Drosophila melanogaster: one gene and its partner. The protein of the gene in region 2 binds, or shares a complex with, the protein of the main gene of each other region. Each region holds a gene or a part of one and is shown on either strand. Other genes may lie near its edges. The genes, in order: U2A and snf. A codon is read from its position in the direction of its gene.

Evidence for each region.
Region 1: the proteins of snf (region 2) and U2A are in contact, whole or in part, in a crystal structure (PDB 6F4J), measured with the Drosophila melanogaster proteins. Residues at the interface, in NP_511045.1 of Drosophila melanogaster: Ile18 (codon at 1,842), Glu22 (codon at 1,830), Lys24 (codon at 1,824), Lys25 (codon at 1,821), Ser26 (codon at 1,818), Tyr28 (codon at 1,812), Ala29 (codon at 1,809), Ile30 (codon at 1,806), Ser32 (codon at 1,800), Gln33 (codon at 1,797), Phe34 (codon at 1,794), Gly35 (codon at 1,791), Gln36 (codon at 1,788), Ile37 (codon at 1,785), Leu38 (codon at 1,782), Asp39 (codon at 1,779), Ile40 (codon at 1,776), Phe72 (codon at 1,680), Pro73 (codon at 1,677), Phe74 (codon at 1,674), Tyr75 (codon at 1,671), Asp76 (codon at 1,668); in NP_610315.1 of Drosophila melanogaster: Tyr15 (codon at 1,332), Asn17 (codon at 1,326), Pro18 (codon at 1,323), Arg20 (codon at 1,317), Glu23 (codon at 1,308), Asp25 (codon at 1,302), Arg27 (codon at 1,296), Ser50 (codon at 1,227), Leu70 (codon at 1,167), Asn72 (codon at 1,161), Asn73 (codon at 1,158), Ser92 (codon at 1,101), Ile94 (codon at 1,095), Thr96 (codon at 1,089), Leu121 (codon at 1,014), Ile122 (codon at 1,011), Leu144 (codon at 945), Asp146 (codon at 939), Phe147 (codon at 936), Arg148 (codon at 933), Lys149 (codon at 930), Lys151 (codon at 924).

The regions. Positions count from the first base shown.
Region 1 is NT_033778.4:7,674,862-7,677,883, forward strand, and holds U2A (U2A), read right to left. Parts: upstream 1,502-3,022; 5' UTR 1,375-1,501; coding exon 577-1,374; 3' UTR 501-576; downstream 1-500. Other genes in the region: CG12107 (uncharacterized protein), read left to right, coding at 34-229; LRR (Leucine-rich repeat), read right to left, coding at 2,781-2,873. UniProt on the Drosophila melanogaster protein: Involved in pre-mRNA splicing as component of the spliceosome. Associated with sn-RNP U2, where it contributes to the binding of stem loop IV of U2 snRNA.
Region 2 is NC_004354.4:5,307,122-5,311,246, reverse strand, and holds snf (sans fille), read right to left. Parts: upstream 2,006-4,125; 5' UTR 1,894-2,005; coding exon 1,541-1,893; intron 1,116-1,540; coding exon 818-1,115; 3' UTR 746-817; downstream 1-745. Other genes in the region: TrxT (thioredoxin T), read left to right, coding at 1-9; Cdk7 (Cyclin-dependent kinase 7), read left to right, coding at 2,353-2,418, 2,490-3,485; CG17764 (uncharacterized protein), read left to right, coding at 4,035-4,125. UniProt on the Drosophila melanogaster protein: Binds stem loop II of U1 snRNA. It is the first snRNP to interact with pre-mRNA. This interaction is required for the subsequent binding of U2 snRNP and the U4/U6/U5 tri-snRNP. Plays a role in regulating sex-lethal splicing.

The DNA of each region.
Region 1 (3,022 bases), on a different chromosome or scaffold from region 2:
TCACTTCACTTAATCAATCCAATGCGCCCCCAGATTCGCCGGCATCAGCTGCGGGATCGTCTACCTGTACGCCATAAACTTTCAGAACGTGGACGAGGACGCCTACGGAGGGGTATGGGAGCTGATCAAGGAGGGGTTCATGACGTCGTTTGCCGGATTCCTGGTCACGTGGATCATCTTCTACACTGGCCTGCACTACGACGCCATAATGGCGGCGAAAGGATCTTAATAACACTCCCCAGCAATACCGGATTCCAGGAGCCAGGTCCACACCACACCACTCCACTCTCCACATAAGCCAGCAGCTCCTCTCGTTTTGTGTCCCCTTTGTACTCGCTGTAGATTGTTAAACTTTTAGCCAATTACGGTCATGTAAATGCATTTCTGTTGTGACCGATTGTCCCGAATCTTTCCGTGAAAGATCCTTCGGCCAGCGGTCTTAGTTGAAAACAGAAGATTCTATATGTTTTTGAGTGTCCGAAATGCAGAATGCGATGAATCAACTTTTGGTGTTTTATTAAAAAATATTGGTCTACGGTTATAAGGTAGCTGACAGATGAGCGGATAATTCTAGTCCTAGTATTCCATGGCCACGGCCCCCGAACCGTTGTGCCCCGCCCCGTTCTGTGCCACCGCCTCCATCTCGTGCTGAAACTTATCCGGCAGCTGGCCGCTTTGCAGGATCTGCGATAGACGCTCCACCTCTGCCAGAGAGCTGGCCCGCTTGATGGCCTCGCGGATGCGCTGCATGTCCTGCGGATTGGCCAGTCGTCCGCCTTCCGATCCCCTTCCCTTGCCATTCCCCGCCTCTGCAGCTATGGCGGCTGCGGCGCTCATCTTGGACTTCCGGCTAATCTCCTTTAGCACGTCCTTGCCCTGCTTGGTGCGGAAGAACTCCTGCGCCGCCTGGCGGTCCTTCTGCTTGATCTTCCTGAAGTCGAGTAGCCGCAGCTGCGGGAACTTGTAGGCCATGTACTCGCGGTAGTTGGGCTTCGTGGATACCGGGTTGATAAGCAGGCAGATGGTTTCCAGCTTGGTGAATCCGACCAGGGGCTCTAAGTCGCTCAGCTCCTGCAGGTTGTTGCCGGTGAGAATGATGGAGCCCAGGTTGGGCACCGCCTCCTCCAGCCCTTCGCTGATGCGCAGGATGCGGTTGTTGTTCAGCAGCAGGCACTTGAGGCGCGGCAGATGCGGCAGGTTGTCCAGCTTGCGCAGATCGTTGTCGGACAAGTCGATGGTATCAAACTGGTCCAGAGTTGCGCCCAGGTTCTCGATTTGTGGAATCTTATAGCCGCGCAAATCCAGCTCGCGCTCCCGGCATGGGTTTATGTATTGCATCGACTGGTTTATCAGCTCCGGCGTTAGTTTCACCATCTTGGCAGTTATAGTATGCTTACGTTTGGTCTTTACTCGGTCTTTTTATACTCTTTTGAAGCTTATTTTCCGAAATGCAGAAAAACAATTCGCTGCCGACGCGAGTTGGTGATGAACAGTTTTCCGATAGCAAGCAATGCCGGCATCGCTATCGATAGATCTAGTGGTAACAATGTTTTGGTATTTTATCGGTCTGCTGGGCTTCTACCATTCTAAATATCGTAATAATACTGGGATTACTCCAATGCTGCCAATAGGGCCCCTGATCTTTCGAAATTCAAAAATAAATAAATAACACTACTGTCCAATATCGTTTCCGTTTAATTTGAATTTCAATAGATTACAATGATGTTTTAATTGCTTAACTTTAATGAACACGTTAAGTTTCTCTTATTTCGTTTCGGGGTTTTGAATGAGAACGGGATACACTCAAAACTCGAAGTGTGTGGTCGGTGGTGGACTGGTTTAAAGTTTAAACGCTGCTCTGAATATATTCTGTGTCGTTGGTGCAAACTACTAGATCATCAAAATTGAAGTTGATCGTTTTGCGATAAGGGTAATTAGTTTTCTATAGATTTCGGTTTTCTGTTGTTAAATGGCTTAGTAATTTTATATCGGTTTCGTTTTCGCCTAGTTTCTTAAATTGTTAACTATTTAGAAAATAATCAATAAGATCGTCGGTCTCCGCCTTGTTTCTAAATAAATGCATTTGTTTCTGGCGGCATAACGCGCCTCAAAATTTGAAAACGGATTGTCGCTTAAATACTATAAATACTATAAGTATGTGTATAGGGGAGGTAAACAGAAAAGGGGAAATAATAAACCATAAAGTTTGTATTTGGAAGCAGTTATAAAAAATATTATATTTCATTTAGATTTTTTTAGGTTTAGCCCATTAAAATAGTTCTTATACACTCAATCGAATTACATAATATGTATAGTGTATCATATTCATTGCGTTATTTTCGTTAGTTTCATTGAAATTGATGTAGAGCACACGCTAAAAATATTTGTAGATTAATTCTGTATATAATTGGCACTTAACTGATTTAAATACATAAAAATATAAAATATAGTACACAAAACATTTTTAAAAATATGCAAAGGTTAATTTGGATAAAAGTATCAGGGTTTGTATCAATAAATAAATCACGTTCATTCTAAATTGCCAAATGAAAACAACACACACGCGGCATTGCACATAAATTAATGGTTCAGTACGATAAGTTGCAACCTTGTTTCCCTCTATCCTTCTGTCTTCACCATTTCATCTCATTTCCTCCTTATCATCAGTATCATCACTTAACGTTATCATCAACCCTACTATCTATCACGTGAAACTGTGGCAGGTTGGGTGAAGGACTAGGGATCGACGTGAGGGAATGTTGAGCATATAACTAGAACACTTATAAATCAACGACATCCTCCTTGGTGTAGGTCGAGTCTCTAAAACCGCGTCTGGTCGCCATGCTCTGCTGCAGTTCTTCAACTAATGTCTCCTGTGGGTAAGTGGAAGAGTGATTCTATTAGACGGCTCGATTAAATAGGAGCTAAACAGGCAAACACAAACTAGATGAAATTACAGGCAAAATGCGGCATACTGGCTAATACGACACAACTTAAGGAATACACACTATGCAGCAAATGC
Region 2 (4,125 bases):
GAGCACTAGGCAAAAGTACCATTACACTCCGAACATAACGACAACATATGTATGTAAGTACGATTGCCGGAGTGCAAGCATTGTGGTCACATAACCGATTCCCTGCTCCTTCTCCTGCAGCTCATCATTCAACAGACGTAACGGAAGAAAGCAATAGATATATATATATATATATACATAGACACACACACACACACACACACACACTTATCGATGTATATATATATATATATATATATAATACACACACTTATCCCAGATTTATTATGCACACTCATAATACTCATCATTTGTGGTGCCTAAAGTATGATGATTGCATTACAATTGTAAGCCTGATGATGTTGTTACGGCGGAGGAGGACTACGTCGCTGAACGATTCTACATATAGCAAACATTTTGGGAATCCGAGGACTTGTGGGACTTACTCAACACACGCTCCCGCACACCAAACTGATGTTGATTTTGCAGCGAGCTTGATACACCATGCAGACTGAGCAAAGGGACGCTATATATATATATATATATACTACTATACACCATATACTATACACTAAATGGAAATATGTACAATCGACCGACATAAATAATACGCATTACTAGCTGTTAGTTATAAGTTTGCAGACAAACAAATAGATCTACACAATAAACAATCAACTATTCTATTCTATACTTTTGCCTTTAAGGATCTTTGGGCGAAATGGGATATGGGAGGGATATGGGCATATGGAATACTCGTAGTTTGTTTGTTTATATCGATTTATTCTATAGTTTAAATTATTATTGGAGTTGCTGGAACGCCCGGCGACTGGAGTTGCGTTCACTTCTTGGCGAACGTTATCTTCATGGCGTGCGTCGGCGTAATCTTGAAGCCCTGCAGCGCCTCCTTGGCGGCATTGCTCTGCAACTCGGTGGTGAACTCCACAAAGGCGATGTCGTGACGATTCGGCACAAGACGCACCTCCTTGAAGCCGGGGAACTGATTGAACAGCATGGACAGCATCATCTCGTTGGTCTCCTCGGGCAGATTGGTGAGGAAGAGGATCTGGTTCGGCGGCTGCTCGGTCTGTGCGTTCGGGTTCGAGTTCTCGGCGCTGCTCGGCTTCTTCTTCTTGTCCCTGTGCGAAACGAAAAAAAAAGGAGTTGTCTTAGTGTCACATGAAGTTGCATTTTTTTTTTGCCTAGTCATTCGCACATCCCAGAAAACTAGGATTACTACGGATTTTTGTCGCGCAAAAATGAACAAAAATGAAACATTTTGCAACTGAAACTCAAATCGCATCGATTAAAGAGCAAAAAGGAGTTGATAACTAAAGATATTATGAAGACTTGAGACACCTCTTGGTTTTCAAGTCCATAATTCTGGCCAAAAACTAACATTGGTTAATGCGGAAATGTTTTTAGTAGCAAAAAGGATTTCAGGCGTGCGAATGAAAACATTGGGTTTTTGCGAGGCAACAGGGAGCAACAAATGGTAGCACCATGGCCGTTGGCAACAAATGATTGAATCTAAACGGGCCCAATTAGCAATTGGGATACTCACTTCTTCTCATCGGTACCCGGCGCTGGTTTTGGTGGCTTGACCTTCTTGGGGCGCTCCTTGAAGGTACCCTTTATCTTGGCCACAATATCCGAATCGGATTTGGAGTAGGCGATCTGCATGGGCTTGTCGTAGAACGGGAAGCCCTGCATGGTGCGCAGGGCATTCGAAGCGCTGCCGATCTCCTTGAAGATCACAAATGCCTGGCCGCGCATTTTGAGCGTTTTTAGGGCCACAATGTCCAGAATTTGGCCGAATTGCGAGAAAATCGCATAGAGCGACTTCTTTAGCTCCTCCTTCTTGATCTTCTCGTTCAGATTGTTGATGTAAATCGTTTGGTTGGGTAGCATCTCCATCCTGTCGTGCGTTTTATTCACTTAATTCGACAAAAATCAACCAATTTGCTCTGTATTGTTGAGAAAAAAAACGAGTCTGTCATCGATAGCAGAAGGCATCGTTTGGGGCGGTCTATCGATATGTTATCGCACCGGTGTTTGGCAGTGTTGTTAAACTGCACATAGCTAAAAGTAGCTAAAATTAAATGACAATCACATGCAGCTAATTTAAATTGACAGTTGTGTATTATTTGCATAACTTGTTAAACTATAAAATTGATTAGCAATAAAGGAGCAATACGCTGTTTTTGCATTATTCTTAATAGACTCTGAAATCTAGTATTTTTTTTGGGGCGCGCGATAGGCCCTACCGGCGTCCATCGGTTATCGGCCATCGATAGCGTTTGCGAACTTGAATTGTTTTGATTCGGCCTCGCAGCATTTCAGTCATTTTCGTGCTATTTATGAGGCTCCTAAACGATGCTGCCCAATGCGAATGACAAAACGGAACGCTATGCCAAGCTATCCTTCCTCGGCGAGGGTCAGGTGAGTCCGCCGCCACGGAATATCAACCCAACGATCCATAACAATGTGCGCATTCCACTTTCGCACCGCAGTTTGCCACAGTTTACAAGGCGCGCGACACGGTGACCAACCAAATTGTGGCCGTAAAGAAGATCAAGAAGGGATCGCGCGAGGATGCACGCGACGGTATCAACAGGACAGCGCTGCGTGAGATCAAGATATTGCAGGAGCTGCAGCACGAGAATATCATTGGCTTGGTGGACGTTTTCGGTCAACTTTCGAATGTCTCGCTGGTTTTCGACTTCATGGACACGGATCTGGAGGTGATCATCAAGGATAACAAGATTATATTAACGCAGGCGAACATCAAGGCCTATGCCATCATGACGCTAAAGGGTCTGGAGTATTTGCATCTCAATTGGATACTGCACCGCGATTTGAAGCCCAACAATTTGCTGGTCAACAGCGATGGCATCCTAAAGATTGGCGATTTCGGTTTGGCCAAGTCCTTCGGTTCGCCCAATCGCATTTACACGCACCACGTGGTCACACGCTGGTATCGTTCGCCCGAATTGCTCTTTGGCGCCCGACAATATGGCACCGGTGTGGATATGTGGGCAGTTGGCTGCATTTTGGCTGAACTTATGCTGCGAGTGCCGTTCATGCCGGGCGATTCGGATCTGGATCAGCTGACACGGATCTTTTCCACACTGGGAACACCCACGGAAGCTGAATGGCCGCATTTGAGCAAACTGCACGACTATCTGCAGTTTCGCAACTTTCCGGGCACACCATTGGACAATATATTCACCGCCGCGGGCAATGACTTGATCCATCTGATGCAACGCCTGTTTGCCATGAATCCGCTGCGGCGTGTGTCCTGCCGCGAGGCACTGAGCATGCCGTATTTCGCTAACAAACCGGCGCCCACAGTGGGTCCCAAGTTGCCAATGCCGTCGGCCATTCTGGCCGCCAAGGAGGGCGCCAATCCGCAGACCGGCGACACGAAGCCTGCGCTCAAGCGCAAGCTGGTCGAGACTACGGTGAGGGGCAATGGATTGGCCCAGAAGAAGCGGCTGCAGTTCTAGCACACACACACACACACACACACACACACACACCCACACACACTCACTCAGTTAACACACACTTTCCATTATAACATTGATGTTTGTGATCGCGTTACGTTGTTCACCGCAGACATGCACAATAAGTTCTATTGAAAGGCTTAAGGATGCATTGCATCCACTCCAAAAGCTCCACTCCATTCTAATTGATATGAATTTTTCTCGCTTGGCAAAACCTTTTCGCCACCCAACATGAGTTGTTAAGACTATGCTTAAGATGATTGAGGATGATCTATTAAAGATGTGATTGAAAGCGAGCGAAAATTGAGTAGTTAATTAGTAGTACATAGGATCCTGGTAGGTTGTGCAAAAGCTGTTCCAGTGCACGCTACCGTATTTATATTTCTGAAAACAAATTGGTAACCAAGTCAATCGACGCACATTTGAAACTCTCGAAATTCTCAGCGCTCGTTTCGGTCCGTGTTTTGTTTTGTTTTTTTTTTTTTTTTCCTTTTTGCTAGTGTTAACTAAAGATTTGCCGTATTTCGTTTTCCTGTTTGGAGTTAGACGATGTCAAAGGCGCAGCAACTGATGGCCAGGGACCAACAGGCGGCCAGGACGGAGGAGGAGGCGCGTCGCAAGCGCGCCGAGATGCGTCAAA